2 linked regions of the Saccharomyces cerevisiae S288C genome follow. The protein of the gene in region 2 purifies or fractionates together with the protein of the main gene of each other region. This does not show direct contact. Each region holds a gene or a part of one and is shown on either strand. Other genes may lie near its edges. The genes, in order: TEF1 and YEF3.

What was found.
Region 1: the proteins of YEF3 (region 2) and TEF1 purify together in Saccharomyces cerevisiae (affinity purification with western blotting, with the first as the bait; 2 studies listed by BioGRID). This does not show direct contact.

The regions. Positions count from the first base shown.
Region 1 is NC_001148.4:698,841-702,557, forward strand, and holds TEF1 (translation elongation factor EF-1 alpha), read left to right. Parts: upstream 1-1,753; coding exon 1,754-3,130; downstream 3,131-3,717. Other genes in the region: MRL1 (Mrl1p), read left to right, coding at 29-1,174; GRS2 (putative glycine--tRNA ligase), read right to left, coding at 3,274-3,717. UniProt on the Saccharomyces cerevisiae protein: GTP-binding component of the eukaryotic elongation factor 1 complex (eEF1). In its active GTP-bound form, binds to and delivers aminoacyl-tRNA to the A-site of ribosomes during protein biosynthesis.
Region 2 is NC_001144.5:634,661-640,565, reverse strand, and holds YEF3 (translation elongation factor EF-3), read right to left. Parts: upstream 3,787-5,905; coding exon 652-3,786; downstream 1-651. Other genes in the region: nucleobindin SSP120, read right to left, coding at 1-249; serine/threonine protein kinase RCK2, read right to left, coding at 4,482-5,905. UniProt on the Saccharomyces cerevisiae protein: Ribosome-dependent ATPase that functions in cytoplasmic translation elongation. Required for the ATP-dependent release of deacylated tRNA from the ribosomal E-site during protein biosynthesis.

The sequences.
Region 1 (3,717 bases), on a different chromosome or scaffold from region 2:
CATACTGTAGGATCGCACACTGGAAAATATGTTGAAACGATCATCTCTAATATATCTATCATGTGTCCTAATCATTACCATACCAATACTTTTGCATGTATACAATGGTCCAGGACTGTCCCATGAAGCCAATGAACATAGGGCTTCTCACAAGCAAAAAAGAACGTTAGCAAATCCGGATAAACCCAAAAGCGAAAACGATGAAGATCTATTTTGTGCGGTAACCAACCCAGTCACCGGATCATACATAGATCTATCACAGCTATCTTCAACTCCCAACAAATTAAGGGAGGGCCAAAAACAGATTTCTGGCAATAACAAGCATGAATCCTCCAAGACGAAGTGGTCAGTGAGAGGTTGGGGCTACGATACAAACTTCACGTTAGGCATCTGCTCTAGTCCTGTCGGAGAAGCTGAGTCGCAACAACTGTCCAATCTAACGGGCGCTTTTTACGTAGACCAGTTGAACGAAAATAATTTAGTATCGATTGGAGACTTCAGTACAAGGCCTGCGTTAGTCGGCGGCTCTACTGCCAAGAAATTAACTCTCAAATACGAAAACGGCTCTATGTGCCCGAACGGGAAGGACAAGAAGGCAACTTTATTGAATTTTGTCTGCGATAAAGAAATTCAATCAAAGGCCCAGATATCATACATTGGAAACCTACACAATTGCTCGTATTTCTTCGAAGTCCGCAGCATTCATGCGTGCCCCACCTCAAACAAAAAGAATGAAGTTAACGTTTTGGGTATCTTCATCGGTATCTTCGCTATATTCTTTTTAGTCGAATTTGCGGGGAGAAGATGGATCTATGCTAAACTAAATAGGCATTTGAAAAACGACGACGAGTTACACGACATATCGCCATCTTTAAATGAGCAACCACACTGGGACCTCATAGAGGACGGGTCTCGCTGGAGTAAATTTTTCAACGGGATAATTAAGACGACAAGAAGGTTCACGAAATCTTTAATGAGGTCTTTAGTCAGAGGCAGGAACAGCCGTCAAGGGGGCATAAGACTACGGTCATCCCCATCTGCCTCTTCGTCCAGCCTTGCCAACAGGGAGTTCTTCAGAGACATGGAGGCTCAAAACGAAATTATTGACAGCCTAGACATCAATAGTCATACAACAGAAAGCGACCACCCAACTTTGGCTGATAATAGCGTATAAACAATGCATACTTTGTACGTTCAAAATACAATGCAGTAGATATATTTATGCATATTACATATAATACATATCACATAGGAAGCAACAGGCGCGTTGGACTTTTAATTTTCGAGGACCGCGAATCCTTACATCACACCCAATCCCCCACAAGTGATCCCCCACACACCATAGCTTCAAAATGTTTCTACTCCTTTTTTACTCTTCCAGATTTTCTCGGACTCCGCGCATCGCCGTACCACTTCAAAACACCCAAGCACAGCATACTAAATTTCCCCTCTTTCTTCCTCTAGGGTGTCGTTAATTACCCGTACTAAAGGTTTGGAAAAGAAAAAAGAGACCGCCTCGTTTCTTTTTCTTCGTCGAAAAAGGCAATAAAAATTTTTATCACGTTTCTTTTTCTTGAAAATTTTTTTTTTTGATTTTTTTCTCTTTCGATGACCTCCCATTGATATTTAAGTTAATAAACGGTCTTCAATTTCTCAAGTTTCAGTTTCATTTTTCTTGTTCTATTACAACTTTTTTTACTTCTTGCTCATTAGAAAGAAAGCATAGCAATCTAATCTAAGTTTTAATTACAAAATGGGTAAAGAGAAGTCTCACATTAACGTTGTCGTTATCGGTCATGTCGATTCTGGTAAGTCTACCACTACCGGTCATTTGATTTACAAGTGTGGTGGTATTGACAAGAGAACCATCGAAAAGTTCGAAAAGGAAGCCGCTGAATTAGGTAAGGGTTCTTTCAAGTACGCTTGGGTTTTGGACAAGTTAAAGGCTGAAAGAGAAAGAGGTATCACTATCGATATTGCTTTGTGGAAGTTCGAAACTCCAAAGTACCAAGTTACCGTTATTGATGCTCCAGGTCACAGAGATTTCATCAAGAACATGATTACTGGTACTTCTCAAGCTGACTGTGCTATCTTGATTATTGCTGGTGGTGTCGGTGAATTCGAAGCCGGTATCTCTAAGGATGGTCAAACCAGAGAACACGCTTTGTTGGCTTTCACCTTGGGTGTTAGACAATTGATTGTTGCTGTCAACAAGATGGACTCCGTCAAATGGGACGAATCCAGATTCCAAGAAATTGTCAAGGAAACCTCCAACTTTATCAAGAAGGTTGGTTACAACCCAAAGACTGTTCCATTCGTCCCAATCTCTGGTTGGAACGGTGACAACATGATTGAAGCTACCACCAACGCTCCATGGTACAAGGGTTGGGAAAAGGAAACCAAGGCCGGTGTCGTCAAGGGTAAGACTTTGTTGGAAGCCATTGACGCCATTGAACAACCATCTAGACCAACTGACAAGCCATTGAGATTGCCATTGCAAGATGTTTACAAGATTGGTGGTATTGGTACTGTGCCAGTCGGTAGAGTTGAAACCGGTGTCATCAAGCCAGGTATGGTTGTTACTTTTGCCCCAGCTGGTGTTACCACTGAAGTCAAGTCCGTTGAAATGCATCACGAACAATTGGAACAAGGTGTTCCAGGTGACAACGTTGGTTTCAACGTCAAGAACGTTTCCGTTAAGGAAATCAGAAGAGGTAACGTCTGTGGTGACGCTAAGAACGATCCACCAAAGGGTTGCGCTTCTTTCAACGCTACCGTCATTGTTTTGAACCATCCAGGTCAAATCTCTGCTGGTTACTCTCCAGTTTTGGATTGTCACACTGCTCACATTGCTTGTAGATTCGACGAATTGTTGGAAAAGAACGACAGAAGATCTGGTAAGAAGTTGGAAGACCATCCAAAGTTCTTGAAGTCCGGTGACGCTGCTTTGGTCAAGTTCGTTCCATCTAAGCCAATGTGTGTTGAAGCTTTCAGTGAATACCCACCATTAGGTAGATTCGCTGTCAGAGACATGAGACAAACTGTCGCTGTCGGTGTTATCAAGTCTGTTGACAAGACTGAAAAGGCCGCTAAGGTTACCAAGGCTGCTCAAAAGGCTGCTAAGAAATAAGGAGATTGATAAGACTTTTCTAGTTGCATATCTTTTATATTTAAATCTTATCTATTAGTTAATTTTTTGTAATTTATCCTTATATATAGTCTGGTTATTCTAAAATATCATTTCAGTATCTAAAAATTCCCCTCTTTTTTCAGTTATATCTTAACAGGCGACAGTCCAAATGTTGATTTATCCCAGTCCGATTCATCAGGGTTGTGAAGCATTTTGTCAATGGTCGAAATCACATCAGTAATAGTGCCTCTTACTTGCCTCATAGAATTTCTTTCTCTTAACGTCACCGTTTGGTCTTTTATAGTTTCGAAATCTATGGTGATACCAAATGGTGTTCCCAATTCATCGTTACGGGCGTATTTTTTACCAATTGAAGTATTGGAATCGTCAATTTTAAAGTATATCTCTCTTTTACGTAAAGCCTGCGAGATCCTCTTAAGTATAGCGGGGAAGCCATCGTTATTCGATATTGTCGTAACAAATACTTTGATCGGCGCTATCTGTAATGGAAAAGAGAAGAAGCCTCTTGACTCACTATCCACTCGAACTTGGAAACAATGGTCGAAGATGCAGTATATGATACGACC
Region 2 (5,905 bases):
CAACCCGTAGAGAGATAGAATATCGTTTTCATCTAAAAATCCTTTCTTCTTGATATCATGTAACGCGAAGAAAGTCTCTGGAGTGTAATCTTTTAGCTGATGCTCATGGTCCATATGCCACTCCTCCCAGGATAAACCATCAGGTGGTGCCTCATTTTCCACATTAATTTCAGATCCTATTTCTGCCGTGGCAGTTACTTTATATAGAGTGAAAGCCAAAGAAAATACAAATCCCCTCAAAAACCTCATTTCCACAATTTTAATAGAACAGGGATGAAAAAATTTTAGGTCTTGGCTCTTTTATCTTTTCTAGAAGGAATATAATATTACGCTCAATCATGTTTTAAAGCTTCCTAGTCTATGATCCGTCACCTATTTTTATTCTTCCAAAAAAATATTTTCGTTACCCTCTTACCGAAAAGGGTATGAGGCAATGCTCAATTTGCCTGAGCTTAAGAATGTATGAAAAAAAAAGATGTCTGACTAATGGAACGCTTTTTCTTTTAAATAATGCCTTTCTTTATAATAAGGAAGTTGCGTCTATATTTTACCAAAATAAACAATATTACAAAAACATAGAAATTAAAATATACATAAATTATTGATCAATAAAAATCTTAAAGAAAACTGTGAAAGCAGTGATCAAAAAGATTAGAATTCTTCGTCAGAAGAAACGTAAGCATCACCCAATTCCTTCTTCTTCTTCATTCTTTCCTTCTTCTTCTTTCTCAATTCCGCAGAAGACAACTTCTTCTTCTTCTTACCACCGGCAATCTTGTTACCCATAGCATCGAATTTATCTTCTTCGTCTTCCTTCTTTTCGATTCTTGGACCAGCACCTTGACCACTAACCCAGTTGTGACCAGATGGAGTCATTCTACCGTCCTTGACGGCCCAGACTTCTTCAGTCAAGTTCTTTGTGAATTCAGCAGAGTGAGTAATGATAATAACACCACCTTCAAATTCCTTCAAAGCCTTAGACAAAGCACCCAAAGAATCTCTGTCCAGATAGTTGGTAGGTTCATCTAAGACAATCAAGTGAGGTCTTTGCCATGTACCGGCAGCTAAGACCAACTTAACCTTTTGACCACCAGACAAACCTCTAATTCTGGAGTGAGAAACAATTTCTGGGTCCAAACCCAACATGGAACAATGTTCTTCAATTTCTTTTCTGGTTAATGGACGGAATTGACCAGAAGCCAAAGCTTCCTTCATATCAACTTCAGCAACCATCTTAGAGTGAGATTCAACCAATTCACCTCTTGGAATCCAAGCGTTGTCGACGGACATCATTGGAACCCATCTTTCAGATTTCATACCAATGTTTTCACCCAATAAGAAAGAACATTCATATTCGTAAGTGTTCTTGAACTTTCTTCTGGAGTGGATACCGGCAATTCTTCTAGGGGTACCTTCAATCTTGAAGATCTTGTTCATAGCTTCAGCATCGTTTTCGTTGATTTGTCTGTTAGCTCTGTCCATGGTTTCTCTATCTTCACCGGTTTGGAATCTCCATTGGATATATTCAGATGGAGTCTTGTCCAAATGAGATTCGATATGAGCAAAAGCGTGTTGCTTAATGTAAGCGATACGACAATTTTCGTGGGTGTAGACTTCACCAGAGGTTGGTAATAGTTCACCAGTCAAGACGTTAATCAAAGTAGACTTACCAGCACCATTTGGACCAATGACAGCAATTCTGGAAGACAAAGAACATTGGAAGTTAATGTCAGTGATTTGTGGCTTAGAGGTACCTGGATATTGGAATTCCATGTTGGTAACCTTGACAATAGCCTTTTGCTTAGTCTTAACACCTTCCAAGTAACCTGGTTCTGGGAACTTGAATTCCAAATCAGTGTTGGATAATTCTTCGTAAGCCTTAGCAGCTGGACACTTCTTAACGAATTCGGTAAAGTTACCCTTGTACTTTCTCAACTTCAAACCTTCGTAGTTAATAATATATTCACAGACGTTATCTAAGAAAACGGAGTCGTGAGAAATAGTGATAGAAGTGATACCACAGGTGTTCAAGTAGTTAACTAACCAAGCAACGTTGACGGTATCCAAATGGTTAGTTGGTTCATCTAACAACAAGATATCAGCATTTCTCAACACAGCTCTAGCTAGAGCCAACTTCATCTTCCAACCACCAGACAAAGCAGAGATTGGCATAGCAATCATTTCATCGGTGAAACCGAATTCAATCAATTTGTCCTTGATAGCTTCTTTAGTACCAACACCAGATTCGAAAACGAAATCCAAGACGGAAGTGTCAGAGTGAGTACCATCAATGTCGTGTTCGACGTAGACGGTTCTACATTCTTCTTGGGTTGGGAAACCATCAACTTGACCGTTGGCAATAGCTCTCATTAAAGTGGACTTACCACAACCGTTTGGACCACAGATACCATATCTTCTGGCTCTCTTCAATCTTAATTGGGTCTTGTTCAACAAGATTTTAGCACCATAAGCCAAAGAGAATTCACAGTTACATAAGTCTTCACCTTCGTCTTCTTCGTCGTCGAAGTTTGGACCAACTGGAATGTTGTCGACAGCTCTCTTTCTGAATTCGTCCAAGATGTCCTTGGCCTTCTTTTCGTGCAAGAAGATAGTCATGTATGGGGTGATGTGGGTGAACCAAGCTTGTTGGTCAATGATTCTTTCATCGATCAAATCAGCACCAATGGCGGCAATGTACTCGACGACAATCTTAAATCTTGGAGCAACGGTTTCGTCCTTCAACAATTCGTTAACGACTTGCAAAGTAGTAGAAACGTCACCAGCGTGAGAAACTTCTGGAATAGCATCGTCTTCACCAACGTTACCAACTCTTCTCAAAGTCTTCAAAGCTCTCAAAGTAACTTCTCTGGCTTCTGGGTCAGCAATGGTAGCAAAGTTACTCTTCAAACCTGGCAACAATTTACCCAAGAAAGGAGCAATAACTTGTGGGTCTTCGACCAACTTACACATGTTGTCAATAATAACAGCAGACTTACGCTTGATACCGGTTTCTCTTTCGTTCAAACCTCTGGACAACAATGGGACCATGATGGACAAAGTAGCTGGAGTAACTTCAGCAACGAAAGTAGTAGCACCTAACAAATGAACGGTTTCTGGAACTTCAGTTGGGTCAGCAATACATTGAATCAAACTTGGAATGAAACGTTCAATATCCTTGTTGTCAACAGTTTCGGTAGCCTTGGTCATGGCGGCAGTAGCAGCAGCCTTGACTTCCTTCTTGGTGTCCCACATGGTTTCAGACAAGACTGGAATCAATTCTGGCATTCTTAGGGCAACTTGATCCTTAGCAGCATCGACCATAGCAGAGATAGCTGCCAAAATAGCAATCTTTTCTTGCCATTTGTTAGTTTCGACAATAGCGTTAGTCAAATGTGGCAACAAAGCTTTGATGGCAACTGGGTTAACAGCGTTAACGATGGAAATCAAAGTTTCGGAAGCAACAGATTGAATTTCTTTGTCCTTGTTACCTGCGTTGGTACAGATAGCTGGAACCAATTGGACGATGTATGGTTCAACAGATGGAGACAAGTTAGATTGGTTAGCAATGTGAGCAACAGCTTGCATGGCGTTAGCAGCGGTCTTCTTGTCCTTGATACCCTTGGCCAATTCACCGAAGAAGTGTTCTGGAACATCATGTTCAATGATGTTACCATTCAAGAAAGAAGCGACTTCAGAAGCGATTTCGTGTCTGTTGTCAGCAGTGGCAACAGATAACTTCTGGAATAGTTCTTCTAGAACCTTAATGGATTGCTGGGAATCAGACATCTTTTAATGTTATCGATGGATTCGAACTAGAAAAATACACGGTTCTTTAGAAAACAATTAAGGAAAGAAAGAGAGCGTAAGAAAAAGAGATATTCTACAAAATTTTGATGCAAAAGGTTTTTATAAAACTTCTTATCTTATATGAAAGATGAGATGAGATAATTATACTCGAGGAAGCGAAAAAATTTTCACCAACGCAAAAAAAGAAAAAGAAAAAAAAAAAAAAAACATTAAAAACGTTTCTTTTTCACGTGCTAAGTGATCTAATAATTTAGGGTTATGCATGGGTGGGGCCGGATAAACCGCGGTTGAAAGTGATTAAACGGAGTCTTTTCTTTTTTTTGCTTCTTCGTTTCTTTTTTTAATTTCTTCTTTCTTCACGAATATTTATTACCCAGCCTGTCATGATTTTTTGATACGTAATTGCCCTGGTTGGGCCCTTTTGCGAGTGGCAGTAAGTATGGAAGGGGCGAACAATGATTGTAAGTTGTTTTTTTAATAGGGTAACGACCGGGTAAAATAGAAAGAAGTGTTGACTAAGAAACGGGAATCAACATTCACTTGCTTATCTTAAAATGTTATGTATATATACGCCCTGTAGATATGTATAAAATATATACTTGTAGAAGGAGTTTAATGTATATATATCTTTTAAAAAGGAATAGGTAAAAAGATTGAAACAGAAGGGAAAGTTGCTATTCCCTGATAGTGGCGCTTATTGGAATTGTAGGCCCTACGTCATTTTCTTGAACTTTTTTTCTTCTTTGCAGAATCGTGGACGTATCCAGCGTTAATTGGAACATATTTTGTTCCAGCTGTTCATCGCCTTGGGCGCCACTGTAACTATCTTCCAATTCTTCGTCCTCAGCAAGCGAGCCTAATCCTCCACGTGTTCCCATACGGTCTTCTTCGGTACGTTTCACAGCATTACCAATATCAAAGGCGTCACGCATAGCAACAGCAGCTGGTGAAAACAGTAGCGAGGAGTCTCTTTGAAATAGTTGGAATTGTTTCTTATGCGGATGGCGTCTTTCGGAAGTACCTGCTTTCTTTTGTGAAGATTCGCCCTCCTTTGGTAAACAATCGAATGTATTTAACCATGGGTCGTCCAAAAACTGGTCAATGTCGTATCTTTTAGACGGCTCTAGTTCTAATAGCTTAGCCACGGCATTCTTGGCACCGGCGCTGATTTCATCCCACCAAGGTTTCAGAAAGGTATACTCACCCCTTGATATTTTTTCAGTTAAAGTGTCAATTTTCTCATCATAGAATGGCGGGAACCCACATAACATTGTGTACAAAACGCAACCAATCCCCCACATATCCACTTTCATAGAATAATGCTCATCTTTGACAACTTCAGGGGCAGTGTAACCGACTGTACCACAAGGAGTCTTGGTGTTCTTGGAAAATATTTGTTTAGACAAACCAAAATCAGCTAGTTTTACTATACCAATTCCACCACCACCAACTCCTGGTGTGAAAATTCCCTCGTCTGCCTTTGTTTGCGGATCATCCGATTTCCTCAATTTTGGTTTTATAGAGCGTGTGAATTCAATCGGTTCAAAAAGAAGATTCTCAGGTTTTATATCACGATGCACTACACCTAGTGAATGCATATGTTTAACAGCCAGTGCTAATTGTTTGATTACATGCCTTGATAAATCTTCACTGAAATAGGTCAACCTAACAATTTCGCCGAAGATTTCCCCACCGGTTAGTAACTCTTGAATAATATAATAATAGCTATCTGTTTCTTGGAAGTCTATGAACGCGACAATTTGTGAACAACCAGCGGAAACCGTCTTATGTAGTGCAACTTCCTTCAAGACTTGATCTCTGGAAGAAGTTTTAGTGCTGTCCTTCCCTTTGTCCTTCTTACGATGATCACCATTAATCGAGGATAAATCTGCCTTTTTGATAACTTTAATGGCAACAGCTTTATAGTTTTTAGTTAAAAATTCATTAGAACTATTTTTAGCAGGTATGGCTCTAAAGACTTTTGAAAAAGCACCTTCACCGATTTTATTGATCAGCTTGTAACCTATCAATTCCTTTTGTTCGAGGAAGGATTTTTCCGGAATTTCATCTTCCATATTGTCATCATCAGTACTGTCAT